Linked DNA regions of Mus musculus: all the other regions are reported to be linked to region 3. Evidence: microRNA targets listed by miRTarBase, many of them from high-throughput screens and not tested one by one. Region 3 holds a microRNA gene; each other region holds the end of a gene's coding sequence.

Region 1 (4,066 bases), not on the chromosome of region 3:
CATGATGCTCTGTCCCTACCATGGACACCAGGTATCTCCCAAGGTGTGCCTGCCTCTCAATTCTGAGACTAGTGCCGCCAAAGGACATGTAGGAGGATGGCCAAGACATGACGTGGCAAGCTAAGCCCTCCTCAGTGAGTGATCATAACTCCACCAAGACACTGGAAGACTGCAGTCTGGATTAGGTGAAAGATCTGGCACCTTGACTTTAGAGGAATGAAGTTGGCACCCCCGAGATTAAATGAATGGAATGCAGCATTCTGGCATCTTTCCTTATCTGTGTTGCCTTCAACCACAAGAGCTGGAGCCCTGTCAGAAGCACCAGGAATGTGCCGCTGAGCTTATGTGCTAGAGTAGAACCACCTCAAATAAAAGGCTTCAACAGCATTTTGTGATGCTACGTCAAGTTTTGGTTCAGGGGACATAGTAGTGACCACATCCTAGGGTCAGAAAAGCAAGCAGAGAGGTTGAGAGGGGCTCAGATATAAAAGAGCAAGGGCTCGGCAGCTTCCGAAATACTCTTTATGGTGAACCATGCATCAGGAAGGCTGTAAAAGGTAACCTGACAGGTGAGAGCATATGGAACCAGGGAAGGTAATGAGTCATATCCTACGGCAAACAACAGGATGAAGCAGATGTGCACCTGCCTCGTAATTCTGAGTCTAGTGTGGCCATAGGGCAGGAGGCTGCAGCCTGTCTCCCTCAGTCGTTTCTGAGGGGCCCAGCCATGGAGCACTTAGATTGGGTGTGGGGAAGTATCAGATGGCTTGTGCCCAGTAAGGCTGTCCCTGGGCTACAGCAGCACCACCCTGAGGGTTTCAAGTGGCTTGCAAATGGAGCGGACAAAATACAGGGGCCCAGTGCATGTGGTCAGGTTCCACACAGCCCTGAGGCCTTGATGGTCACTTTAACCAGGTATAGAGAAAGCTCACCTTTTTTAGACAAGGTCTGTGTAAGCCCAGTCTAGCCTTAAACTCATGATCCTCCTGCATCAACCTCCTGAAGGCAGGAAGTTTCTAAAAATTCCCTAAACTTCCTGACTAAATTAGGATATTAAGGATATCCCAAAAGTGAGGTAAGTTTTTAAAGGGGGGGGGGGGACAACAATAAAAAAAAAACACAACAAAACTCATTTTCCATTTGGCTCTTTTTATTAGAGAAATCAAGAAGACAGCAAGTAGGGAAATCCCCATAGTGAATGGAACCATCACAGAGATGCCTTTCTGGAACCCCAACCTTCTATGATCCCCAAAAGTGTGCTTTGTGATTTCAGCAACTTATAGAGGGGAGAGAGGAAATACTGAAAAAGGCCACTATTTAATGATGAGAGAGTGAAGGTGTACAGGTTCCTAACCAGCCTAGGGCCAAAAAAGGAGACTGAAACGTGTGCGCAGAGCAAGCGAGCCTCAGACTGCTGAGAGTAAGGCATTCAGGTGCCAACCTGGAAAGTTCCCGGAGGCACCACAAGGTCAAGTGCACATGGAGGCTGTTGGTAGTGAGCTGCGCAGACATACAGGGCACACACATGCCCACACACACACACCGAAGGGAAGTTACTGGACTACAGTGGTGGTGGTGATTCGGTTCCCTAAGAGTTTGTGCTATGTTGAACCAGAGTCTCCCTGCTTTGGGAAGAGGGATGACCAGTCCCAAAGACCTCTACTCCTGTAGGTGTCATGAGGAAGCGTCTCAAACTCATGTCCCAAAGTGCACGACCAGAGAGTGCGTCTGGCTGCTGATATGTGCTGTTGCTACCACAAGCCTAGGTGAGCTTCCTTCCGGATGGACACTGTCTTGATGAACTGCTTCTTGAGGAATTAACACTGTTCTTAGTTGTCTGGCACAATGCTGTTCACCCAGAGCTTCCTGTTGGGCCTACCTAGGGCAGTGACCTTATCCACAACCCAATACTCTGAAGTTCTTCCCAGGTTTTCAATGGACTCCTTCCTGGGTCCCAGCTGCAGCTGGGTGGCGATCTGAAGGTAGAGGAAGGACAACGACGACCAAGAAAACACTACTGTAAAAACAGGACCTCCTCATACTGCCCAGCACCCCTTTTGGGATGCCCGAGGCCCATGTTACACTGCAATACCCACCAGCCCCAAGGAGTGAGGCCTAGAGTCTAAGAGACTCAAGTGCTTGGTTTCTCACTTAGGAGCCAAGACCCAACTCACTGCCACTCTCTAAAACCCATAACAAGAAGGCCCTAGGACAAAGAAATTATTTGTAACTTCTAGCAGCAATTCAAAATTGTGGGTTTAATTCTATCCGACTACCTGGTAATAACAGTCCACTTCCTTTTCAACTCTGTAGCACAGGTCTTGCAAATGGCATTCAGTGCGTGCTAACAACTCCACAGTAGGTATTACTGACTTTCTTGTTCAACGGGAGAAGAATCTGTTGTCATGCCAAGCCTGCCAAGCCTGCACCAGAGAAAAGCGCCACCATTCCTAGTCCAAGGGATGGTCCTCCACACCTGCCTGCATGACTTCAGGTGGGACCCATGCTCATCAGAATCTCACTAGTGGCCGGCTCCACGAAGGAGCTTTGATGCTGGGGGGGGGGGGGGGGGGGCAGTTTTTGATTTCCAGGAGGAAGGACAGTTAGGGCAGTGATTCTCAATAGAGCAAAATTTGCAGAATGGCTCAGAGCTCCACAGAGAGGGTCTGGAAAATGGCCATACCTCTATTCAGATAAGAACTACCACCTGGTCAAACGAGACACCAGGGAGAAGCAGACCATTCCTATGCTGATGCCCCCAGGTCCTCCTCCCCTTCATCAAGTCTCTACTACATCTACAGTAGAACCAGGTGGCTTCACTCTTCAAAAGGGTCATCACTAGCCTACATAACAGTCTCCCAAATGACACTTTCTCTAGAGCCACTATGACAACCTGTGCTGCTTCCATTGAAAAGCACACACGACTTCCACATCCCTCCCCCTCTGAATGCCCAAAGGCTCTCAGTCTTGAGAGTGGCCAGGAAGTTCCTGGGCTGGGGCTGTCCACTCTGCCCCAGCAGGGTCCAAGTGTTATCGGCCTAGGGAAGGCACCTTGGTGCACCAAGACATCGTGCATTCTGGGGCTACCACTCCATCCTCCTCCCATCACTTGTGCAAAATTGAAACAGTGTGTGGTACTTGCATGTTTCATTCTTTTTAAAAAAAGTCTCCCTCCCTCCCTGCCCCTATGTCTTAAATGTTTATATAAATTCTTATTTAAACAGTAAATTAGAAATCTTATTTACATTAATTTCTTTGTTCTCCCAAAGGAGTGCCTAAAACCGCACTCCCACCCCTTTATTGGATACAAATGTTCCCCTAACTTGGTTGTGATTACTGTTTAAGGAGCTCCAATGGCACGATCAGTTGGTGCATGGTACTCATACATGTTACTGCTGCAAGGAGCAAGGAAGGGAGAAGAAAGACCACCAACTAAACTGTTTCCCCATCTTCTACAAATAAATACGATCACATCAGAAGCCAGCCTGTCAGGCGAGGGTCTTGCAGAGTTGCTTTCAATCGGTAGATCCCAAGAGGAAGCCAGGGGATGAGCCATTTCTCCTTCTCTCCTAATCGATGCATTCCATCCTTTGAGGTATGATTTATTTTTGTTTTTCTCTTCTTAGTCTTGTACCCCATGGAGCCCTTGGGCCAACACAAGGCCCATGAGGCTGTCCAAGTTTTGGGGCTTCTCTGGCACTGGCACCGACAGCCAGTAAGAAGGCCTGCAGGACCTGCAGGCCTGGCTCAGGGTCAGAGTCCCTGGTTCCTGGAGAGTATCACAGTGCATCCTCTTCAGTGCAGCCCCCGCCAATCATGAAACGAAATTCCTGCAGGTTTGAGACTCCGTGGAAGTGAACAAAGGCACCAGCAACCACAAAGATGTGGAAGAGCTGATGAGAGTGAAACTGGAGAGAGAAAAGAAAGCCACTATCACTAAGCCTGCTAACGGTCAGGTCCCCAGGAAGTAACAATTCCAGGAAGTAAGGCACACTGCTTCCCAGCTTGCTCGGACAGTGGGAATGCATGGGATACAATTCAAATTCAAGGTGGGTCCCTCAAGTTC
Region 2 (4,066 bases), not on the chromosome of region 3:
AGCCCTGGTGGGGTCCAGTACATCATTGCCACTCAGGTGAGGCCAGTACACACGGCAGGCACCCCCTTACCTGCCGGAGGGAGGGAGGATCCAAGCCTCCCCCACTGTGTCTCAGGGCGGAGGCAGAAGCCCACATCAGCCACGGCACGGAAGTAGCCACATGGCGTTCTTAGGCTCAGAGTCATTGGACACTGTCTGGTTTACTCATTTCCCCTCAGTGGTCATTTAGGGACAACTCGTAGAGGAGAGCGGGGGCGGGATGTGAGGGTTATGTACTCTGGACAGAAAGATGATAAAAAGCAGTCACTTGCCAGGAGAGGTAGATGTTGGGGTCCCTGGGAATCTGCTCTCAGGATGTAACCCACCACAAGCACGCCAGCATCCCCGCGTCTCCTGATCCTGCTCAAAGAGGCTTGCTCTGGGTCCCTCCTTTCACACGAGATGAGGGTCACTAAGATCCCCACAATCTAGCCCGGAATGGAACCCCAGGCAGCTTGAGAGGCTCATCCTGCGCAAGCTGGTGTGGACTTACCACGAAGGGACCCACCCGTGTCTCACCACCCCCCCCAATCTAATCCTGCCTTAGAGTCTCTGACCTGTAAAGTCTCCGGAGCAGCGGCTACTGCCGCACCCCATGACTGGACACTGATTTTTCTCCCCCCAGGTCGGACCAGGACCTCAAGTCCTAGACGACACTCATGATCATCTGCTAGGCCAGGATGGACTGCCACAACGGGACCTTTGACCTCTTCCACGTCCAGTGCCATTTGGAGAAAGGGGTTGCCCACTGGAACTCGGGAGCTGGCCTGCTGGTCAGCCTCTCCTGAAGGGCTGCTTGATGATCGATTATACTGGGGGATGTCGAGTGTGATGGGCAGCCATCTAGGCGATCACGGGAACCCCTCTCAAGTGCCTCCGGTTCCCCGCTGGTTTCTGAAGGGCTAGCTGACCCACTCGATGGACCTTCCAGCACTCCAGACAGCTGCTCATCAGGGATGGGGAGTCGGTGCCTCCCCCCTCCCCCAAGATGCTCTGAGGGCCTCAGTAACCATCTAAGCGTGATGGCTCAGACAGCGGTGCCTCTCTGCTGAGACTCAGGCCACAGTTTCTTTATAAAGCCTCCTGGTGAGGGTAGGGGCTGTCGAGCCCACAGGTAGGGTCCATTGTGTGTGTGGGTGCCTCATGAGGGTGCAGTCAGTGGACCTGAGGACCACAGGAATAAAGTGTGCTGTTCCTGCCTGCCCGTGTGGGCTGTGCTTTCTTCTTTCTTCCTAAACCAGCGCTTTAGGGTCTCTGGTCTACTGATCTGCTGGGTCCTACCCGCCATTGAGTTCAGTCTTGTTTCCCTATGTAGTGGAGAGGTGGGGGCTGAAGTGGGTCCTGCCAGGAACACTTCCCACTGCCCACAAGCCAGCCCCGTGAGAGTCTCCTGCCACCTTGTGACCACCCTAAGTCATACCCCAGCATACATGCAACAGCTGCTGGAGCTGGTCTAGGCCAGAGGAAAGAGACAACAGAACAACGGTGTTCCGGTGTTCTGTCCCCTGCTTTCTGGGTTTTCCCAGCCTTGCACACTATGGTCCCCTACCCCCACCCCGTAGTCACGTGACCCAGGACACACACCTGCCCCAGCTCACAGTGGGTCGGAAGTAACCTCATCTCCTTTTAGGGAGCAGCCTTTATCTGATAACTAGAGGAGCAGGTGGATGAAGTGACTTACGCCTCTGGCCCTGGGGGGGTACGGTCACAAGTCACAAGCAGTCACAAGTGGCCCTGGTACTTTCCAGCTGGAGAGAGAGGTCGATGGGGAGACTGTCCCACCCACCAAGGCTCAAAGGGAAGGTGCAGAGGAGGCCTCTGGGGCACAGCCCGACAGGGCGGGGCCTGAGCAGGGGGCGGGCCGATCAGTGAGGACTTGCGAAGTGGGCTGCAGAGTTGGACCGGGCTGCTGCGTGTGCGCAGGGTCCTCGTCATGGGGCAGATCGAGTGGGCCATGTGGGCCAACGAACAGGCGCTGGCGTCTGGCCTGAGTGAGTGAGGTGGGCTGCGGGTGGAGGGGTTGCTCAGGACCCGTGGGGCACCGCGGGGGAAGCAGGGCTCGGGCTGGTTCTGCGGACCTCAAAGCGCGGATCCTCGGAGAGACCTACCGGGGCCTCCGGGCACAGGACGGGCGGTGGCCGCTGCAGGCCGTGCTCGGCCGCCTGTTCTAGAGGCGACCCCGCCCTGCACCCTGTTGGGTCCGCGCTGGGACCTCAGAGGAGGAAGTTGCTTACAGCTGGGGAAGAGACATTCACTCGGTGGTTTCCCGCCTGGTTAGGAAAACCCCCGGAAGACCCTCTTCTGCGCACAGCCCACTTGGCCAGGAGTTGGGACTCTGGCCTTGAGGTCACTCGGGCTCCGGCTTCTCCCCGAGGGGCCTGGGATAGGAGCTAAGCTCATCCTAGAGGAGCAATCGGCTCCATCCCACAAGCGAAGTGTGCGCAGAAACTATTTCACAAGAGTCTGGACACCCCTCAGAGTGATCTTAGCCCTGATGGCCTGCCGAGTTAAGATGCAGGACACTAGTCTTTAGTCAGGTTGACACTGGCCGTGGCTTGAACAGTTCAGCTTGTCTGGGAGGTTTGCCAAGGGGCAGTGGGACCCCTGGGCTTCACTGTACCAGGAAAGGAACCTAATAGACCAGACCATGAGCAGCAGGCCTGAGACTAGAAACTGCAGACATGCCTCAAAGCCGAAGGGAGCCAGAAAAGACCTGCCAGGGCAGGGAGGATGGCCCAGACCCCCCTCCACTCACCCGGGAATAGCGCATCGAAGAGGTGATAGAGAAATCTCCCCCAGCCCACGCTGGAAGCTCCCGTGGAAGGCCTTGCAACCCCAACCTTTTGAAAATGGCGCCCCTCCCCCACCTGCAGTCTCCCTTCTTACCCTTCCCAGCCTCCTGCCAGTAGTGGTTTGTCCTGTGACCACTATGGACGGTTTCAAAAGTTACCTCCAGGAAGTGGGGGTGCCAGACACACCTAAGGGTGGGAAGACCTGGCGAGCGCTGTCCATGCAGTGTCTCCTGTCCTCGTGTGTGCTAAGGTCTCTATGTACTGCCTCAGCTAATTGTTCAGGGTGTTCAGGCTGACACAAGTCTCCTGTGCTGAGGAGTCACAGGCTGTGGCCACTTACTTTCTCCACCGAGTGTGACTTCCGCTAACTTTTCTTTTTACGGGAAAGCACAACTGTCCTGGGAAGGTTCTGAACTGTCTAGGTCCAATCAACAGGGATGTACTTTGTTTCCTTTTGTTTTTTTAACATTTGATTTTTTTCAGATTGTGTGTGTGTCTGGCCATGTGTGTAAGTGCGGGGGCGCTTGCAGACAAAGGCTAGAAGAGGGTATTGGAACCCATGGAGCTGGTGTTACATACGGGTGGCTCTGAACTGCCTGATGCGGGTGCTGAGAACCCCACTCAGGTCCCTTGGAGAGCAACCCTCGCTACTAATCCCTGAGCCATCTCTCCAGCCCCCTATTTTGTTTTTTTCTAAATCACAGAAAATTCCATCTGTTCTGGCCCCATTACCTGGCTCCATCTCAAGACGAAAGCCCGTTCCTGACCCCCCTGCTTGTCTCCTGGGCTCTTCCTGCCTTCCTTGCTAGGTTGCTCCTTCTCTGTCTCTGAGTTTCCTGAATGTGCACGGGGAGGGGGGCGGGGGGGGGGGGCTTTTTGTACAATTGGCTGGGGTCACAGCTGATGCCTCCTTTTCAGTCTTGACTCAGATGCCACCTGCTGAGACATCAACCTCAGATAGTGGGCTTCCCTGGGATTGAACCCTCTGTTACAGTGTATCACTTCAGCAAGCCAGGGGCTTGAGAATCAGTCCTTGGGTCTCCCTGTTGGGTAAAGAATGACCCCTCCCACTCATGGTGGTCAGTGTAGCAGAAGCTCACAGTGAGGACATGAGTCCCTAAGGACTATGGGTAGCAGGCCGAGTGAATGTGTGACAAAGTACCCTTCCCTCCTGCAGAGTGCACCCTTAAAGCTGACCAGCAAAACAGGAAGGTTAATATGTAGCCGAGCTTCAA
Region 3 (4,066 bases):
GACAGGGGAGAGAAACATAGCAATTGTAATTAGTCCTTTGATACATTACTAAATCTAGTCCAAGTACCGGGTTCCTTAAGAAACACAAGAGATTGTACCCAGTGGGGACTAAGGCAGTAGCGGGTGTGAATAAACCCAAGGGGAAAAAGAAAACATATACAGCCATCAAACTATGGCAGCCTCATCCTACTGTTAGATCGCAAGTTCCTCCCTTCATTTTCGCCATAAGATGTAATTAGAAGGTTCAAATAGGCAGGGGAGATGATGCTGAGAATCCAGGAGGTGCCTTGAGAGAGCAGAAGGCTTCTCTGCATAATTATTGATGGGCAGAGAAGGGCAGCGAATGTAGAGGAAGGAGGTGGCTCAGGCTGACCTTGGCTCTGATTCTTCATTTGGTGGAAACAAAAGGGGTTTGCACTTATACCTGGGGCTGAGCAGGTCATTAGAGTCCTACATACAAACCCCTTCTGGGAAGGGGATCTGGTAGACACATACGAACACTGGTTCACATAGACTGGCCAGTCCAGAACACTCCCACACGCCAATAACACACGAATAATACTTTCTGGAACAAGAGTTTTACGTAAGCAATAAAATAACAATGCACCCCTCCCAACTCAGATCCTCCGTAGCAGATCCCAGGCAGGCCTTATGGATGGTGCCTGCGGTTTGCGCTCTCAGAGCAAAAGCATATTGGGTTTCTACCTAAAAGGACTTTACTTGGGGAAGCATCTGGGGGTTACGTAAGATGAAATATCGGTGAAGGACGAGGGGACATTTGAAAGAATCATGGGGAAGCAATTACTGAGTAGAGGATTGCTAATGGGGATATTTGTGGTCCAGGGGGGTTGGGCCATCATCTGCTTAGGCCATTGCTTGAAGGCAAAATAACATCTCAATGAGCACGGGGGGGGGGGGGCAAATGGGTGTACCCCCAAAATGGTACAGCACACTAGCCGTTCTCTTCTAACCCATTTGTGAAGTGAGGGAGCACCCCAGGAAAGGGCCAATTTTTATTTCAAGGGAGGTAGATTTTCTCGAAGCAATGGCTATGGCGTCTCTTAGGACAGCCATTGTGGCTGGGTCTTTCCCTTTCTGCCTTGAAAGCAGTCTGGCTTGTCCGGTAGGACTCAGCCAGAGACACCCTCAGGGTGTGGGCACTGCAGCTTTCTGCCTGCAAGAGTAAGCAGGCGGTGGCTTATTTCTGCAGAGCGGGAGAAGGTTCTGGGAATGCCTAGGTGGAATGTGGTAAATTGAAGCTCAGCCTGGCTAGCTCTAACATTCTCTTCTGTGAGGAAATTTAGAAGTTGAAATCATCGTAAAGAAGGACACATAGTAGATACTCAAGAAATAATGAATACTCTTGAGGAAACTAGGCCAGAGAGGTACTGATCTATGATATACCCTCAAATACTAATTTACTAGACTAGATGAGGCTGAGGCTTTTTGAGACAAGAGTCCTCCATTAACTTCAACGGATGCTCTTTTAGACCCTGATTACTGTGTTAGGAATCAGATTAAACTCCTAAACATCCTTCATGGGCTTGGCCTTGCAAAGGCAGGCCTCTGGCATGACAGCAGGGGGGAGGGCTACAGCCTGCTTCCTGGGGGTGGGTTGTGGGGGGGGGGAGGAGGCCAGCTCTTGGCCTCCTTTCCCTCCCTCTGCTGCTGGGTCCTGCCCCTCCTCCATTTACTCCACCTGAAAATTAATGAGTTTAGGTCGGCCACCAGGCCATCATCCATCCACTGCAGGTTGGCGGAACACTGAGATGGAGACGGGATGGAACTGTGTCGGGGGCCTCCAGGACCAGCTGCTGCTGTTGGGGGCTGATTTGGGAAGCAGGTGCTTCAGGATGAGGGAGGATTAACCCTTTCTGTTCCTGGACAGCCTGCTTCAAAACAGACTTTCCTTAGGCCTCCACCTTACTCATGCTGATTTTCCTTCTGTCTTGGGGTTTTAAGAGCGATGGGGAGAGGCCCACACTCTGGGGGCTGGGGGTGGGCTGCGCCTCCTTTTCCTGTAGCTTCTGGATTTCTGCCTGAAACTTCAGCCACAGCCCCAAGGAGGCTGGGAGGCCCTGCTTTAGAGCAGTGGGCTAGCTGTCAGTTTTGATGGAGTCTGTGCGCTGTCCATGAACAAATTTGCCGATCGCCTTCGCTCACTCCAGAGATCTGTTTAAGCTTGTCAAATGCCCACAGCTCTCCACCAACGGGTGACAAACAGCTTCCCCTAAAGACTACCCCAGCAACCCCAAGCACAATACAAGGTAGCTGCAGTCTAGGCTTTGGGGCAGTCTGCCAGTCGCATGGGTACTTGGTTATTATTATTTGTTTAAGGGTAATAAATTGAAATCCGGAACTAAGACAGGTAGGGATGAAGGTGTCGGCCTTCTACAATGGGCAGGGTCCCAGAGCTGAGGGGCACATTTTACTCTCCAGCCGTCCCCAGGCTATTTTCTGCCGCCGCCGCCGCCGCCGCCACCACCACCACCACCCCCCCGCTTGCATAGATCCGTGTTTCTGTCACAGAATGAGTTGTTTGCTTCCTAGATTCTATTTGCATCTGCACAAACCCCTCTCTGTCGGTAGCTGCACACCTCCCCACCCTAAGGGCTACTTTGCGAGGCACTCAGAAGCCTGCTACCCGTACTGTGGGCGCCTGCAGCTGCAGCGCTGAGATCTGCCCAGGGCGTTGTGCTGGGTCGATCCTTCCGTGGCAGGCCCTCGTGGACCCAAGGTGCTCAGACAGCCCCATTCTTGGCATTCACCGCGTGCCTTAATTGTATGGACATTTAAATCAAGGTCCGCTGTGAACACGGAGAGAGAGGCCTTTCTCCTGAGGAAGGAAGAAGGAAGGAAGGAAAGAAAGAAGGAAGGAAGGAAAGAAAGAAGGAAGGATGGAAAGGAAGGAAGGATGGAAGAGAGGGAGGATGGGAGAAAGGAAGGGAGGAAGAAAGGAAGGAAAGGTGGAAAGAAAGGGAGGGGATGGGGAGAAGATGAGATGAAAAAAATGAGAGATGAGAAAGAAAAAGCTGGCGACGCGTGCGTGTGCGTGCGCACTGACAGCAGGGAGGGTGTGGGGTTGGGGAACGCGATGAGCTAAGGACCACCGCATCCTTCCTACCGCAGCTCCCCCAGTCACAGACAATGAGATAACAGCCACGTCCTCCGTAGGCTCTTTGTTCTCCCGCATCCTTTCGTTTCCAAGCTTTTTCCTGCAAAGGGGAGGGGGGTGGAGGGTTCGGGATGTGGGTGGAAGTGGGAGACGGAGGGGTGCCTCCCCCGTGTTAATTACCCCGACTCCCTCACTCCTCTCCTCGCGCTTCGCCTCCCCTGCAGTTCCAGACAATGAAAAAACATCAACCCCACCTCGCCCCACCGCAGCGAATCCTACCCACCCAGTTCGCTCTCAGCTTCGCCTAGGAAACTGAGGGGGGCCAGGAGGAGGGAGATGACGGAGAGGAAAGGGATGGGAAGCAGGGGCCCAGCTACTGCTGCCTGGGCAGGGCTTGTGACCGCCGCCTTTACCTTGAGTGTAGGGTCCGGGTGTAGCCTGGCCGGGCGTGCCGCAGGGCAGAGCTGCTGCGGTCCCTTACCAGGATCTGTGGGAATCAGCCTTCCGGAACTCTCCTGCTGCGGTCCTCTCGCTTAGGTCCCAAGTGGTGGATGGGAAAAAGGAAAAGAAAAAAAAAATAAATAAATAAGAGCGAGGCCCATCTGGCCCCTCATCAGCCTTGTCAAGTCTTGCATACGCTAAAATGCTAATGACCTAGATAGCTCATGCAAAATGCAGCAGGGAGGGACAGAGAAGGAGGGGGAGCGAAGGGAGAGCGAGAGAGGGAGGAGTGAAGGGAGAGGGAGGGGGAGACAGAGGGAGGAGGGAGACTGGGAGGGGGGAGGGGGAAAAGAGAGAGAGAGAGAGCGCGCACCCCTACATGTTCCCCCACCCCACCCGTCAACCGGTTTTACAGAGGTAAAGGGTGGGTGTAGATTTTAAAAGGTCACCCCTATAGAATGTAGCTGGGTGGGGTGGGGGAGAGATCCCCAAATCCATAGGGACAATAAA
Region 4 (4,066 bases), not on the chromosome of region 3:
CTGTTCACCATCTGCTACTCCCTGCCCTGTTGTACTGTAGACAAGCCTGTGTCTACAACCTTTTCAAAACTGCTTCCTACTGCCTTGCACAAAGATAATGCCCAGTAAATACTTGTTGAGTGCAAAGGGGTTTAAATATGCCTCATTGAATGTGCAGGTGACAGATTTACTCTACATCAGTTGTCTTCTTCTTGGTGTGCTGAAATACCAGGTAACATGTAAAGATTACTATTATTGCACAGTTAATATTTCTCTTAAAATGTACCTTTGCTTTCAATTGACACACAATAACTACACATATTTCTGGGGTAAAGTGTGGCATTTCAGTATCTTATATTTAGTATCTTATCAACCAATTAGGGCAACTGTCATAGTCATTACCTCAGACATTTATTACTTTCTTCCCTCTGGGGTCATCCAGAATCCTGTATACTAGCTACAGAAGAGCGTAGAGTAGTTTCCAACCATAGCTCTTCCACTGTGCTGGGCAACATTAGACATTATTCCTCCTTTTCAGCAATTCTGTGTGCCCTATAACGTCTCCCTCTCACATCATTCCTAGGATTTGGTAAAACTTTAGCTTCCATATACAAGTGAGAACACATGGGATTTGTCTTTCTGTGCCTTGAACAATTAATGTTTCCTGAACACTCAGTAAGTGCCCGGCACTATCCTGGTACTCTAATTCATTTTGGAAGTAACCATGTAAGCTAGACATTTCTAATTTCCTTCTATTAAAATGGAGAAACTGCACCACAGAGCAGATGAAGAACGCACCTGGTTTGACACAGCTAGTAAGCCTCGGTGTCATGGAGGCTGAGATATATGGTATGACCAGTTTCTACATAGTACTACGTGGGGCCTCCTGTGAGATGCTCATAGGGCAGAAGAGAGTGAGTCACAGGTGGATGGTGCACTGTGTCACAGGGTGTGGGGCGATTGAACAGAAGAACCCTCCACGAGATCTCAAGCCCACCACTCACACTGTTGTTCACCTTGTTCAGCTGGATGCCCCTTGTTCTCAGGGGCGGGATTGCATAGGCGCCTACGGTGAGACATCTCTGATCCTGAAATCTTGGCTCTGTGTGGTTTGGTCATTGTCTGCTTTCTCTGCACCTTAGTTTCCTCGCCCAGGAAATACTCACAATGATAGCACTGCCCTCATAAAAGCTTGTGTGGTGATTGGCTGTGGTGATATGGAGTTACGTGCTTGGAGCTCAGAATTGTCTTTCTCATTACCCTACTGCTGTTTCTTTTACAAATTAACCTTTTCCATTTGTTTATTTGTTTAGTTTTTTATTTTATTTCAATTTGTTAAGGGCTTCCCACCTCCACACGGGGGAGAGTCTCACTATGCGGTCCTGGGTGGCCTGGAACTCATTTTACAGACACCACTGTGATCTCAAACTCACATTACCTACCCACATGAGGTTGAGAAGATATGACTCCCAGTAGTCTGCCACTCTCTAGACCCCATACCCAAGAGTATTTTAGTAACACAAATTGGACTCTTTGGGGGAAAGGACAGAGAGACAGAGAGACAGAGACAGACAGACACAGAAAAGAACAAAAATGTGTTGAAAGGGAAGTGGGTAGGTAGGTAGGAGAGGATCTGTATGAGTTAGGTGGAGTATGTTAAAAAATACATGGAATTATCAAAGAGTTAATAAAAACATTATTAAAATTTACCAGGCTGGAGAGATGGCTCAGTGGTTAACAGCACTTACTGCTCTTCTAGAGGTCATGAATTCAATTCCCAGCAGCCACAGGGTGGCTCACAATCATCTGTAATGGGATCTGATGCCCTCTTCTGGCGTGTCTGAAGATTGGACAGTGTACTGACATACATTAAATAAATAAATAAATTTATTTAAAAAAATAAATAAAAAATTTAAAATTACCAATCAATTTAGGATTTAACAAGCTGCCTCACTTTGGGGGACATGGGGAGTGAAGGGCATGGCCTATGGATCCAGCAGCTAGAGACTGATTCCTTATCTCTTTGGGGCTATCTGCTATTGCTTCTTGGGTAACTGAGAACAGGGACTCAATGGAACCTTTCTCATCATTGGAGGTGCTTTAGCTGTTGCATAAGTCACACCAAAATGTCACTGACAAACACTTAATTTTGGCCCAGGGCTCCATTATAATGCATAGTGATTTACTATGGGTTACAACTGAATGTGTTGGCCCCTGGAAAGTTGCTATGGACTCTACCTTCAAAGTATAAACCGAAATAAAACGTTCATTGCTATGTATTGTAATGCTAAATACTGGTCAAAACCTGCTTGCTCCCAGGGATGAAAGAACCCTCACATAGACCCAAGTGACTATATGTAACCTTGCCCCCCAAGTTATCCCTGATTGGTGAATAAAGTTGCATACAGCCTATAGCTGGGCAGAAGAGAGATAGGTGGGTCCTTTGGTTCCAGGGCTTGGGTTTGGGGGCAGGAGACCACGAGGAAAAGAAAGAGGAAAGAGAGGGAGGAAGACACCATGAGGTGAGGGATAGTAAAAAAAAACTGGACATATGAGCTGACCAGTCAGAGTAAGAGTGGCCCATGCAGAAAATAGCAAGTCATAACTCAGGGTTCTTGATAGGGAGGTATAAACTAATTGCTTAGAGGGTAGATATCTGCCCAGGTCTTGTGTTGACTAAGACTTATCATAAATATAAAAGTTGTGTAAGTTGTGTATCTTTTATCTGGGGACTGAATGATCAAATGGGAAACACCCATTGAGATTAAATATTACCTACAACAAGAAAGTTTTCTCATGTGTTTTTTGTCATAGTAGAAAAAAAAAGGAACTACTGTTTCTTACATTCAGAGTCTAGCAGGTGTATCTCTAGGTATGCTGATCCATAAGACTTCGGGATAAATTCTGTCCTAGAGAGTGTTCCATCTGTTCCACCTGTAACTCCTGATACTGTCTTCTGGAAGAACGATCTCTACAGATGTAAAGATTTGAGTATTATATCAGCAAACCAAGGTATTTCAGCGTTACTGGCCATCAAGCTAAGAAAGATTCGTTATTAAAGCCTTCTGAGAGAACCTAGTGGATCGCAGACTTAGACGTCAGACACCTCCCCCAGAACTGAGCAAGAATAAGTTTATATTATTTTAAGATACAAAGTTTGTGGTACATTGTTATAGAAACCTTAGGAATGGGACACACAGAATGTCCAGTTCTGTATTAGGAATACCTAAGTTTTTAATACTTTTATTACAGAAATTCAAGATTCTGTGGCTGGGTAATTTGATTGTCCCTGCTGTATCCATCATTCATGCAGCCCCAGGGAAATCAATTGCTCTATATTGAACATAAATGTATTGTTTGTATAACTGAATAAGAAAACCATTACTAAGTTAAAGGAAAAGAGTTCCTCACAGTTTGAGTGTGCACACATCTGTGTGTATTTGGTCAGGAAGGGCACTCTCCATAAGGAAAGATTATTTTTGCATCAACCAGAATTTGACAGGAAGATTTCTCCGTTTGACAAGGATATGACAGCTATTGAATGACAATGTTCGAATACTCCAGAGTCTAAGAAGCTTGTTTTGTTTTATTGAACAGTAAGAAAATATCCGAGGAAGTGATCATGATTTCAATTTTAACTACAACTAGAGAGCATCCGGCCGTTCCTCGTCAGTCATGTCTACCTGAATTGACACAGACGCCTTAGAAAACTTGTTAGCTTTCTAAGTAGGGTCAACACTTAGTCAAAACACTTCAATGTGATGCAAAATTTTAGAAGGTTGGCTTTGTGGGGGCTATGTACTTATAGTTGCCTGAATTAACTGAAAATCTTCTTTGCTGACTCAACACATTTTGCGTCATCAAAAGGCTTCCTCTGGCTGCCAGGTTGAAGAAACTTCTTCACTGTGGGGAGGTTGCTGACTCTGCTTCTCAGCGCCTGCAACAGACAAAGCAGAGCCTCAGAGAGCAGCCGAAGAAAGAGTTATTGCTTGCCCTGCCCTGTGCCCCTGCCAGTCAAATGACTAACCGAGCCCCTCCATCAGCACCAGGGTGGAGGTTGGAGACAGACACCCAGAGAGAATGAAGA
Region 5 (4,066 bases), not on the chromosome of region 3:
CGTCATCGAAAGCCAATATCGTGGATCTCTACAGTACAGACAAAGCTGTGGTGCTACACTAAATCATACTCCTAACTAAAAGGGTTCCCCTATTTTAACCATTTCTAGGTTATCTGCATGGGTGCGAAAGAAAACGGTTTGCCACAGGAATATCAAGAGAAATTAAAAGCAATAGAACCAAATGAGTATAAAGGAAAGATCTCCGACGAAATGGAAGACATCATCAAAAAGGGAGAGTCAAAACTGTCATAACAGACTCTGAAGCTATGTGTGCTAGTATGAAGTGCTTTTAACGTTTGCGAACAGGAGTCTGGACCTTCTTGGTTCTGACCTTGATTTTCAACAGTGCTGGGAAGGGCTTCTCACATAGGTGATTCTTTATTTTTAACTGTAACAAAGAACTGGAATGGGGATGGGCTTAGACCATTAAAGGGACCAGGGGATCCTGGCATGTGCAAGTGGTGATGGCCGTGGGTTCTCCTGTGGACACTGCTATAGCCCCCCACTGTGTGGACGACCTCCGTGGAGGGTAGGTCTGTAGCTCAGGGGCGCACTGCTGCGCTTGGTCTGCTTTCTGCTTGTATCCGATCGGCTTGTAAGAAGTAAGCAAAATATAGAGGGTAGGTGGTAAGGCTTTGAGAAGTACAAAGATGGTACACTGTCCTTTGAGGGGCGACTGCTTTCATGACTCTAAGGGGTTTCTCAGCAAGAGCTCCACCTCACTGTGCTCTGCTCAGACCACACAGAGCAGCCTCAGCTCATAGAGTCTGTGTTAACTGGTATTGTGGACTCTGGAGCCAAGCTGGCCTTGAACCTGTGACCATCTTGCCTCAGCTTCTCATATAGCTGGCTGGGATTATAGTCTTGTGCTACTGGGGCTAGCTGAGCCTCCCACTTTCCAGTTGTGGGACTTGAGCTTCTCTGGCTCACTGGACCTTAGTTGCTTCACCTGTATAAATAGGGAAAATCAAAAACGTGAATTTGAAGATTTCATGAGTAAACATGTGATAAGCTTAGGACACAGCTTGGCTCTAAGTATTAGCAATCATCATCGTGTAATGGAGTTTTGGGTTTCTTTGTCTTTTGAGACTTAAGCCTATTCTGTAGTCCAGAGTGGCCTTGCATTCAGGATTGTCTTGCCTCCCAGCCATCCTGCATCTAGTTACAGATGTGTGTCATCATATGAGGCAGGGGATTCCTTTTTGTTTAATCAGTGATTTGGGCCCTTTAACAAACAATACAACTCTTGAAAACAATAATTATAATTAGGTCCTAGGTTGCAGAAAAATAACAGAAATCTCCAAAGTGTGCCAGCTCCTGTCCCAGAAAAAAAAGAGATGGACTGTGAGCTGAGAGCAAGGCTGGGAAGAAATAGGCCCAGTGTCCTGGGTGCAAATGCAGCGTTAACCGGGGGCATTTCTGTTCAGGATAAGAAACCAGAGTCCTTAGGAAGGACTAGCATGGCTCCTGTTTGCTTACCTCAGTTCCCACGAGTGAAAGCAGCAAACATAGAAGCTCGGAGCTGGGTAGATAGCTCGACTAGTTAAGTGCCCAGTACACAAGCGTGAGGACCCAAGGTCCGTCCTGAGAACTCCTGTCCAAAATCTCTGCTGTTAAAAGCTTCTAATGCTGGAAGAGCAGAGACAGCCACATCTCTAGGGCTCGCTGTCCCGCCAGCCTTGCCTGCTCGGAGAGTTCCCAGACTGGTGAGAAGAGAGATCCTGTCTCAAGGAAAAATAGATGGCTCACCAAGGCTGGCCTCTGGCCTCTCTGCATACCCTCTCTCACATAAGCAACAGCTTTGCTAGGCATGGAACTGTGCGCTTGTGTCCTAGCACTCAGGCCGAGGTGGGAGGATGGCTTGAGTCCCACCTGGTCTGTATCGTAAAGCCTTCTCAAAAATGACCAACAGAAACCCCACAACAATTTAAAATGGAGGTGTGTGGAGACCTTGGTTCCTGCGAAGATGGACTAGGAGGTGCTTTTCCCTCGTTCTCCTGTTAAGTACAACTAAAATCTCTGTGTATTATTTATGCAACAATCTGGGGCAAGACTGAAAGTTTGGGGAGATGGCAGTCTTCAGTAGGGCCTTAAGACCCAGTGCCCCAGAGTAGTAAATTCTCTGAATTTTCTTTTGCCTCATACAGCTTAGGCGTGTAACTAAAATAGCCATGCACTGGAAACAGCAAAGAGGGTGTGCTTGAATGCTTACACACAGTACACATAGCCTGTTCTACTGAGGATACTAGGAAAGGGACAGCTTGGTATTAAAAAACATTGAGAGATCAAACACTCCGTGCAGGCCATAGAGAAACGTGGTAGACTTGTTTCCACCATGCCAATTGGGGCCTGGAAGAGAGCCTGGATTTACACATACACATGCATAAGACAAATCCTCTAACCACTTTGCCACCATATGCGTGTCAAAAAGCTTGGGAAGGACCTGGCAGCAACACTCTGTCTCAGTGTGCCATTGGAACCATGGGGATGTAACCTCCCATCCATCACTGATGGTTTTCCCTTGACCTCCATGCTAGAACAGTTTGAGAATGAACCAGCTGAAACAGGACTTAAATAGATCCAGAGCCTTATAAAACTCCAGTATGTTCTGATTTCAATTGATGATCATATTCCAAAACAAGGAAACTACCAGACTAGCTGGTAAATGGTAACTATAGATGCCAGGGTGATGTGACATGTTGGGATTGTCTGTCAAAGGTTTTCAAACAGCCATTGGTAGTGGTGAGCTAGTTCAGTGGGTTATTGTCAATGCTCACAAGGGTCATGGGTTCAACACTGCCACAGGTTGGGTTAACGTAGACCACTATAGTTGTGACTGTTTCCAACACCCAACCACAAAGTGCAGATCACCAAGCCAAAGTGTCTTATTCATGAGAATGCCGTCACTTTCCATAGTGACTGAGGAAATGGCCACAGCAAGCTCTGGGATCCTGCTGGATGCCAGTGATAACATAGAGAGCCTCAGTAAGCAGAGGACAGGACCTGAATGATGATGTTAGTATCAAAACACCATGGCTGAAATCTAACAATTCAGTGTGTGGGGCTCAGCAGCAGAACAGTGGGGACCACGGAAAGGAGGTGTGAGCTGGGTGATGGAGTAAGAGCTGCCAGGGTGAGCAGAAAACCAAAAAGCTAAGAGATCCTGGAGCCCGTTTGAATCCTAACATTAGAGCTGACGTATTGAAAGAGGCCAGCCTGCAGAGAAGCCAAAACATCCTGAGGTCTGCAAAGGACAAAGTAGCTGAGTGGACCCCATACAAGCCCAAAGAAATGCACACCAAAGCACTGCATAGTCAGTTTGGAAAATGAAAAATTCTTGAAACTAGGATTAAGTTTTGGGGGTACATTGTTTCCAATCAGAAATGGCGGAGCCCAGAAGCAAGCGGCACACTTCAGAAGCAAGTGGCACACTTCATGGAGAACTGGAAAAACCCCCAGAACCATTAACAATGAGGGCAAAGTAAGACACAGACAAGTTTTTAAAAATATTACCAGCCATCCTGCTCAAAACAACGAAGAAAATAAGCAGAAAAGAAAGAATGAAAGGAGGAAGCTTTGCACATTAGAAAGATAAGGTCACCATGAGAAAAATTAGGATAAATGCACTAGAATCCCTTCTCAGTCTCCTGGTTCATACTTGACAATGTTGCACAAGTTGTAATCCTAACTGCCAAGGTCCGAAAATACAGAGCAGGGTTAGAAGAGGAAAGCCAAGAAGATAAGTGTTCTATATTTGAATGTGTAACACCTCAGTGGGCAACCAATAAATACAGAAAGGATTTTTGCAAAACAAAAATTAAAAATAAAAGAATCTCACTATTAGAAGACAAGATGAAAGCCAGTGTGTGTGTGTGTGTGTGTGTGTGTGTGTACCTATAATCCCAGTTCTTGAAAGATTGAGACAGAAGGATCATAAATATGACAAGCTTCAACTAAAAGGCAAAAATAAGATGGCAGAGTTATATTTCAGCATGCCAGTTATCATATTAAGTATAAGTGTCTAAGAGTATGACTGGAGCTGCTGCAAAGGCTCTGGAGCACTCAC
Region 6 (4,066 bases), not on the chromosome of region 3:
TACTGACTCTGAAGCACTGGGGCCTTGATGGAGATGTCTGTATCACAGCAGCTGTTCTAAGAGTTTCATTGCTATAATGGGCTCATCAGATACCCCAATGATGGAGACTGGATGAATGGGATAGTTCCAGATCTGATGGCAGAAAGCAAAAATATCTCTTAGTATACGTTGGAAATAAAGATGTCTCAAGCAAGCTTATTGTCAATGGCAAATGCCTTTATCACTTAGTATACACAGAAGCAAATATTGACCCATCCATATCTTGATCAAGAGTTGATTACTTTTAGTTTCCATTAATTACATGGAGAATCCAAGAGTAAAAGAACAAAGAAAGAATAAAGTATAGTTTCTGTTTTAGACTCTCTGGAGCTACTTGTCCCTCATAGGAGAAATCTTGTAGCATGGAAAAATGTGAAGCCAGGCGTGGTGGCACACGCCTTTAATCCCAGCACTCAGGAGGCAAAGTCAGGTGGATTTCTGAGTTCAAGGCCAGCTTGGTCTACAAAGTGAGTTCCAGGACAGCCAGGGCTATACAGAAAAACCCTGTCTCGAAAAACAACAAACAAACAAACAAAAGTGAAAACAAAGAATCTGAAGCTAGGAGGTGCTGTGGGTCATCTGCAGATCTGCTAAGCAACTCAGGGAGCAACTAGAATCCTCCAGGAGGGAAGTGCCAGACTTCAGGAGAAGGGGGCTTATGAGGAAGGAACAAGAATCTACTGAAATAGGAGAAAGATGATGTAAACTATTTACTAAGTCATGTTGCAGACTAAGCTACTCAGTACAAATATATAAGAGAACAAGAGCATGACTATATAAAGGCCTGTCCTCATCAACTTATTAGGAATGAGAAGAATGAAAATCAACCACAGCCATTATGAATTCTTTGAGGAGAACTGATGTAAACATAGGCTCCCAGAGAATGGGCAAAAGAGAAGTGAGTTACAAAGAGGAAACTATTCATCTGAATTATTATAAATATCATCAGCAACAAATTCTAGTGGGGGATGCTGAATTTCTTCCCCTCAAAAGGAAACACGGAGCAACAGCAGATGATTGATACAGGAAATTACCTGACAGGAGACCGTACTAGGGAGGTGAACAGACTGAGCATGTGGGCCTTTCCCATAAAATCTTGAGAGAGCAGCTTTAAAGCACACAAGGAAATGGTGGAGAATACTGAAGTCATACAGAAAACTTGATAAGCAAGCCACACAATGTTTGCTGAGAAGATTTGAATGATGAAGCTGTATTTTCATGACAAGACTATGAACATTCAAGAAACTCAGGAAGCTGGAGTTAGAGATTCAGCAATGAAAAGAAATGGTCAAAAGAGCAGCATTTCCAGCAGCTTCTCACTGCTGCTTGCGATGTTGCTTTTAGACAAAGAAGCTTTACAGAAGCAGGGTTTCATCTGGAATTGAAGGAAAAGCTAGTTGGTTAAAGCAATATTTTAAAAATAGTACTGTCTTTGACTACTAGCGCTTTCTGGAGAAGTTCTGATTTGGAAAATCTTAGGGAAGTTCATTGTATATTCTGTATATACAGCAAAGTATATCCAGAAGTTCTTCCAGATTGCAGGATGAATCTGACTAAACCTCGTCCTGCTTCACCTTCTACTTCAGACTTTAGGCAGATATGATCCTATCTATTGGTACATAGCTGAATGTATCATACATAATTCCTGTAGAAAGTAAACAAAGTCAGCCTGGAAACAAAATGTTCAAAACTCAGAAGTGGAACAAGAACCTGGCCCACAGGAAGGTTGCTACAGTGGATGCTCCTTGGCCAACACCAAATCATATACAAAAAGATGACCCATCTTTGATTCCTGGAGTTATCAAATTTCACAAAGTAAGGTGTAGTCAAAATGCCAGCTACCTAATAGTTTTTAAAAGTCAGGTTTTGGGGGTTGTTTGCTTGCTTGCTTGCTTGCTTTGTTTTTGGACTTTCCTGTCTATCCTTAAAGAGCAGAAATACTAGCTCATTTAAAAGGCTTTGGCTATGTATTTTTAGTAACAAAAGTTTAGGTTGAAACAAAGCATAAGAATGATTTTCATCTTCTAAGTATTGAAAATAATGCCAATGTAAAAGTAATTATTATAAGTATTGAAGTTTTTGTCCTAAAGATAGTTGGCATTGGAAACTCAGCATTTACTTGAACACGCATATTTTTATAATTTATAACAAAGCAAGTTCTATATTTTATGTAGTGTGATTTTGGAATTACTTTTGGATGTTTTAAAGCAAAATGTATGCAAAATAAAATAAAGACTTCCATCTTTTCTTTTCTTTGCAGGTTATTCTTTTCACATTAAAATCTCTTTCCCCAAACTATAGTCTATGGCCACTTCTGTTTCTTGCTGCCTTCTCTTCCCCAGATAACAGCAATATCCATGCTATCTTAAACCCTGTGCTGGACAACGCCTTAGTCCGTATGTTACCTTCTAGGCAGTGGGCTCACATGGTAACCTCAAAAGTCAAGTGAGTACTGCTATGGTATCATCAGCAATTTCCCAATACCTTCTGCCCTCAGTTTAACTAAAACAGAACAGAACGTGTTTTGCCTTTGGTTTTTAACATTTCAGTAACTCTTTTATAGAGATTCTAAGAGAAGGAACTAGACTTTCCCCAACTCCCATATTGAAATGCTCTTGGAAAACCCCTGTGCACACACACAATTTTTGCAGTCCCAGGATCTGGTGAGCTGTAGGCTCTAGTACTCTCCCACTGACCTAAGGTCCCAGCCTATGGGCCTGCTTCCTAATCCTCAGTCTAGGAGCAACACAACTTGAACAGGCAAGACTGTGACAGGAAGATGTAGCTATGTAAGTCTTCAGAGCCAGAGGCTCCAGCATCTGGTGCAACACCAGCATCTGGCACCACTGGAATTCTGATCTCAGTTTCTTTTCTTCACTGTCATTTGTCTAACTTGTCCTCCCAATTTGATGTTTCTTGAGCCAGCTAGACTGGCACTATAGCATAGCGATGAAGCCCCTTATCTGCCCCACCATGCTCAGATACTACAGGAGGATGAAGAGAGAGACCAGTAAAGCATGCTGTTGTTTTGTTTAACTCTGAAATAGTGTACTACTATGTGAAAAAGTGGGAATAGGTCTGCATTTGTGTTTAATTTAGAGACACTTCAGCTTTACCATCTGAGTCTTGAGTTAAGTTTTGAGTGGTAAGATAGTTTCAGGCCCCACTGAAACAGAAGCAATAGTCTTAACATGGTCAATACAACACATCAAACACACTTGGGCATTTGGCCATCCTCACCCTTATAAGAGCCTCCCTGATCCCTCAGGATTTACAGGTAAGTCATGCATTTTCCTGCAGTGGAAACACGAGGGGGGTTCCCCGGCTGGAAACCTTCTGGTCTCCCATTCCCAGGTCTCGCTCAAGTACTTCCTCAGAGCTGCTTTTTGTTCTCCGACCACACTCGAGACTTGTGGAGGCTGTGTAGGAGCTTGAGGAGCCATTTGCTGTCACGGTGCTATCCCCATAGGTCAAGGTGAGGTCACCTTCCGTTAGGATGAAATCAGAGTCATCTTCTCTCAGTGGCTCTTGATTCTGAAAGGTACAGCCAACAAAAAGGGGAACCTGAGATTTACCAGAGCTGTGGCCAACCTAACCCCAAATTCTTACATCAAAAACCCAAGGACTTGGGAGGCTGCAGAGATGGTATAAAAGATAAGAACTCTTGCTGCTTTTATAGAGAACCCAGGTTCAATTCCTAGCACCCAAATTAGGCAACCCACAGCTGCCTGTGATTCTAGTTCTAGGGAATCCGAAACCCTCTTGTGGACCCTGTGGATACCTGCACACATTTGATCATATACATACACACACATACTCAGGCACACAAATACATACATGCATAAAAAACTTCTTCTTGAAAAAGGATTTTATGAAACCTGTCTGACTATGCCCTTGGTATGGTCACTGAGCTTATACTGTCATCATTCTAGTGTGCATATCCCTAATCTCTAAGGAAGGGAACAATTATTAGGCTTCAAATTACAGGAGGTTTTTTTTATGTTTTTGTTTTTGTTGTTTAAATGGC
Region 7 (4,066 bases), not on the chromosome of region 3:
TACGGGCTGCCCTGCCACTGTCCCTTCAAGGAAGTGAGTACCTGGGGTGTCAAGGTGGTAGAGTGGGTGTGGGTGTGGCCTTTTCATTCTGCATATTGTTTCTTTGGGTATATAAGAACCGCTATCTTGGGAGCTGGAAGCCTTGGTTTATCCGTGTATGAAATGGAGCAGCTTTACGCTTAGCTGTGACCATTGGTACCCTTCATACTGAGCCTAGAAAAGGGCTATAGCACCACTCTTGGCTCTTAGCAGAATGGGGACGGGGGGGAGATCACAGCTATGGCTGTCAGCAATAGGCCGCCCTGACCTGGCTTCACTTCTTCCCCTCAGGGTACCTACTCACTACCCACGAGCAACTTCACAGTGCCTGACCTAGAGCTACCGAGCTGGCTGAGCACAGGCAACTACCGCATCCAGAGTATCTTGAGCAGTGGTGGGAAGCGCCTGGGCTGCATCAAGATTGCTGCCTCTCTCAAGGGCAGATAACCTGGCAGCAGCCACCACAGAATGAAGGGGCACCAGCACGGCAGGCCTCTTCTTCTGTGTTCCGGTGCCCAGGCCTGCCTGCCTCTAACTCTATCCTCCTACGGTTCTCTACCCTCTCTGGAAATCATTGCAACCTGACCTGAGGGAGGATGGACCAGGCCCAACATCTGATGGGCTGTAAGCCATGCTCCTTTGCACCCCTACCAACTTTCTAAGAATTTCTTTCGTATCCAAAACAGTCAAGGAATGGGAACCAACATGTTTGGGAATCCTAAGGTCAAAACTGGCCCAACCTGGACCTCCTGGAGTTATGCTCACCCCACTTCTTTGTTTTAGTCACCAACTTTAAAACCAGGATAACCGTATTAATTTCTCATTCCATCCTGAGCCTCTCTTCCTGCAAAGAGGTCTAGGTAGTCAGTCTTGGGTCCCTCTATTAACTTCTGTGATTAACTGCATTCTCTTTGCAACTTAACTTGTCAACACTGGGGCTGACAGATCCTGAAGAGGCAGGGTGGTGTGTGACAGAAACCTGTGAGAGTTATTGTTGGGCATGCTCCAGTAACCCTTGGCAAAGCACAGGTACCTGTAGGGCCAAGCCGAAGACCTAGGGAGGCACAGCAATCACTTCTGGGAGCGATGCCCATTTTTCCTTTTTCCTTTTTTTTTTTTTTTTTTTTTGGTATGATGCCTTCAAGAATGGGATGGCATTCCTTATACCTGACAAGAAACAACCAAAAAAACCAATAGCACATGTGCTCTGGTGCCAGGTGGCCAGGGTCTGGAATGGCATATCTAGTTCTAAAGAGGTGCAGTCCCCTGCAAGTTCCATGTAAGGAATGTTGCCAGATATTTGCAACATTTTTCTTCCTTAGGCCCCAAACCCAGCCGTTTATATGAAATTGTAGAATTTTTAACTATTGGAAACAAATGGTTTTTTTATATATACTTACTATGCAGGCCAAAGGGGCCCCACGGACTCACCCAGGGACATAATCTGGCTCCCAGGTGGCTGCTTTTCCTCACATCTGTTCATCTTCTCAATCTCAAGTTATCTGGCCGCATCTCTTCCCCCTTCAAGGTCAAGTCCTTGGTGCCTGGCCTCAAAGAGGGCTCAGCCTGCACTAGAGCAGGTCTACATGGCTTCTGAGAGCTGGGCACTGTGCCAACTTCCGAGCCATCACCACCAGAGTAGAGGGGTTCACACTGGAGTAGATCCCACCTAGCAGCCACCACGTGGAACAGGGGTCCTGTGAAGAGAGTGGGTCCCACATCAGGTTGCACCATGACAACTTCCTGAGCCTCCTCGGACAGCCCAGGTTCTGGACTAGAAGACTGGTCTGGCAATAAATCTTTTTAACTTGCTGTGTGGGCTCCTTTTCTTGGCTGTGTGCTTCATTGAGCATGGCTGCATGTTTGGGAGTCTGTGATGGGCTGTGGCTGTGGAAGGGCTCAGTGGGTGGTCCAGGGGAGTCCAGGCATCTCTGGCCATGGGTGCTTGTGTTCATCTCAGCAGCAGCCGGGGCTTCCGCCTTGCTCTGTTTGGGCCTGAACGCCCAGGGTTGCTTTCAGATCCCTTAGCCTAGTTTTCTGCCATTCAACCTTAAAGCTTTCCACTACATATTTTTTTCTTTTGGTTTTGTGTGCATGTGCATGCATGTGAGAGAGAAAGAGGAGAGAGAGGAGGCTAGAAGACAACCTTGGGTATCATTCCTTGGGTGCTTTCCATTTTTTGTGTTAAGTCAGGGTCTCATTAACTTGGAACTGCTATGCAAACCATGCTGTCTGGTCAGAGAGTCCTGGGTATCCACCTGCCCCCACCTCACATCCCACTATTACTGGGATTATAAATGTGTTCATGGTTCTGGGGACCCGAACTCTGGTCCTCAAATTTGTAAGGCAAATCTGCTACTGAGAGGCAGGGTCTCATTCTATCTAGTCTAGGCTGACCTCAAACTCCTCTGTACATAGGACAAGCATGACCATGTCCTTATGCTTTCAGGATTACAGGCCTGTACCACCACGCCTAGTTCTCTTGATTTGTAGTCTGCACTCTGCTTTTGTTGTTTGGTTGGTTCTGCAAGGTGGTATAGGCTAGTCTGGAACTTAGCCCTCCCACTACTTGCTGGGATTGTATGCAATGCACCCCAAGTTCACAATCAGAACAGCACCTTACCAGCTCAGGAAATCTATATGTCATACTTGTTAAATGTGCCTTGTTGTCTCTTGTGGGTTGTGGGTAAGATTTGAGGTGACATCTCAGATCCATGAACAAAGAAGGATGGTGTGTTTTGAGGCCTAGAAAGAAGGAAATAAGGTCTTTGGGAGCGGGCACTTGAAGGTCTTGGCACACCATTCCTTTGTTTCTGCTTACTGCCCACAATGAGGTGAGCATGCCTGCATACATTCCACCATGATACCTTGCTTCTCAACCCTGTATATATCATCCCTCATGGTACTCGGTATACATCATCCTACAATGGAAACCAGTTTCCCAGTGCTGTATATATCAGCCTGCTATACTACTATGCTTTGCCATGTACCCTCCTGAAAACTAGGGTTAAGGGTGTGTGTCACCATGCCCAGTCTTGAGGGTGGGTTTTTTTTTAATGCTTAGTTTATTATTTGTGTGTGTGTGTGCCACCATTATATATAAATAATTTTTGAGACAGGTTCTCACTGTGTAGCCCTTACTGGCCTGGAACTCACTGTGTAGACCAAGATGACCCTGAACTCAGGGACCCACCTGCCTCTGGCTCCTGAGTGCTGGAATCAAAGGCGTGAACCTCCACATTAAGGGAATGGAGCAGACAACCTGAAGGGGTGTCTGATGATTAATCCCTGGTTAGTTTGAGTAACAGAAAAGATGACAATGCATTTGAGTCTTTTAAATAAGAACCCAGGATAGAGTCTACTGTGCACAGTGGAACCCCAAGGAAAAGAAGATAGAGAAAAAAGCCAGCAGCCTCAGGAGTAAATGTCACCCACTGACAAGAGTCTCATGTGGATGTTAAGCTGGGCATAAAATAGCACAAAAACCAAGTATCTGCACTGTTTAAGTCTTACCTAGCAGGGCGTGGTGGCTCACACCTGCAATCCCAGCCCTTATGAAGATTTTAAATTCAAGTTAGCCTGGGCTATAAAACTAACACTATAAAATGAGCAGTTACTGAAGGGTATGCGCCATTTCTCTGAGATGCTCTTAGTATGTCATCTCAATATAACTATGGTCAGATAATCCCAAGCAGCTCTTCAAGGTTGCCAAGGCCACGAATAATAAGGAATGATCTAGAAACAGCCACATGCATACCGGGAGAGAATACAGACACTGTCTGAGATCCTCATTTCAGATGTCGGATTAGACTAGCATTTCAGCTGTGTTGACGTGGGTGTGGCTGTGGAGGGTCTTAGCATTAATGACAGGTGATGTGACATTTGAGCTATTTCTGTCTTGCTTTAGAAGTTTTTCAAAATAAAAAGAGACTGTTTTGTGAAAGTTTCTGTTAATTTCTTTTACATTTATTTACTGTGTATGTGCGCAAAAGAGGAAAGAGTATTCAGGCACTTGTTCCATGGTGCA

Evidence for each region. The annotated mature microRNA mmu-miR-124-3p reads UAAGGCACGCGGUGAAUGCC and lies in region 3 at 2,760-2,779, opposite strand. An mRNA with a match to its seed (bases 2 to 7 or 8) in the 3' UTR can be bound and repressed. Matches are read on the target gene's strand: a 7mer-m8 pairs with bases 2 to 8, a 7mer-A1 pairs with bases 2 to 7 and ends in A, and an 8mer does both.
Region 1: miRTarBase lists Adipor2 as a target of mmu-miR-124-3p. Seed matches in the 3' UTR shown: 7mer-m8 at 3,045-3,051 and 7mer-A1 at 1,422-1,428.
Region 2: miRTarBase lists Mvd as a target of mmu-miR-124-3p. The part of its 3' UTR that is shown has no 7-base or 8-base seed match.
Region 4: the mRNA of Gsta3 is a reported target of mmu-miR-124-3p. The part of its 3' UTR that is shown has no 7-base or 8-base seed match.
Region 5: miRTarBase lists Ggct as a target of mmu-miR-124-3p. The part of its 3' UTR that is shown has no 7-base or 8-base seed match.
Region 6: the mRNA of Slc9a7 is a reported target of mmu-miR-124-3p. The part of its 3' UTR that is shown has no 7-base or 8-base seed match.
Region 7: miRTarBase lists Gm2a as a target of mmu-miR-124-3p. Seed matches in the 3' UTR shown: 7mer-m8 at 2,698-2,704.

The regions. Positions count from the first base shown.
Region 1 is chr6:119,352,021-119,356,086 of GRCm38, forward strand. It overlaps Adipor2 (adiponectin receptor 2), which reads right to left. Exons shown (of 8, transcript NM_001355692.1): 8 at 1,130-3,908. The coding sequence ends at 3,780. It overlaps Cacna2d4 (calcium channel, voltage-dependent, alpha 2/delta subunit 4), which reads left to right. Exons shown (of 38, transcript NM_001033382.3): 38 at 1-387. Among named protein-coding and RNA genes, the nearest start is that of Lrtm2, 23 kb to the left of the region's middle.
Region 2 is chr8:122,430,774-122,434,839 of GRCm38, reverse strand. It overlaps Mvd (mevalonate (diphospho) decarboxylase), which reads left to right. Exons shown (of 10, transcript NM_138656.2): 9 at 1-36; 10 at 665-1,244. The coding sequence ends at 745. Cyba (cytochrome b-245, alpha polypeptide) reads left to right here and starts at 1,900. Exons shown (of 6, transcript NM_007806.3): 1 at 1,900-2,030. The coding sequence starts at 1,973.
Region 3 is chr14:64,589,422-64,593,487 of GRCm38, reverse strand. It overlaps Mir124a-1 (microRNA 124a-1), which reads right to left and starts at 2,831; the gene lies at 2,747-2,831. It overlaps Mir124a-1hg (Mir124-1 host gene (non-protein coding)), which reads right to left. Exons shown (of 4, transcript NR_040709.1): 3 at 3,529-3,647; 4 at 1-3,215. It overlaps Mir3078 (microRNA 3078), which reads right to left and starts at 2,303; the gene lies at 2,217-2,303.
Region 4 is chr1:21,264,693-21,268,758 of GRCm38, reverse strand. It overlaps Gsta3 (glutathione S-transferase, alpha 3), which reads right to left. Exons shown (of 7, transcript NM_010356.4): 7 at 3,184-3,916. The coding sequence ends at 3,797. All of the region lies in intron 1 of Gm28836 (a long non-coding RNA gene), which reads left to right. Among named protein-coding and RNA genes, the nearest start is that of Gm28836, 5.0 kb to the left of the region's middle.
Region 5 is chr6:54,982,044-54,986,109 of GRCm38, reverse strand. It overlaps Ggct (gamma-glutamyl cyclotransferase), which reads left to right. Exons shown (of 4, transcript NM_026637.3): 4 at 109-1,015. The coding sequence ends at 252. Among named protein-coding and RNA genes, the nearest start is that of Ggct, 8.8 kb to the left of the region's middle.
Region 6 is chrX:20,102,642-20,106,707 of GRCm38, forward strand. It overlaps Slc9a7 (solute carrier family 9 (sodium/hydrogen exchanger), member 7), which reads right to left. Exons shown (of 17, transcript NM_177353.4): 17 at 1-3,573. The coding sequence ends at 3,322. Among named protein-coding and RNA genes, the nearest start is that of Chst7, 45 kb to the left of the region's middle.
Region 7 is chr11:55,109,048-55,113,113 of GRCm38, forward strand. Gm2a (GM2 ganglioside activator protein) reads left to right here. Exons shown (of 4, transcript NM_010299.3): 3 at 1-33; 4 at 331-3,982. The coding sequence ends at 486. Among named protein-coding and RNA genes, the nearest start is that of Gm2a, 13 kb to the left of the region's middle.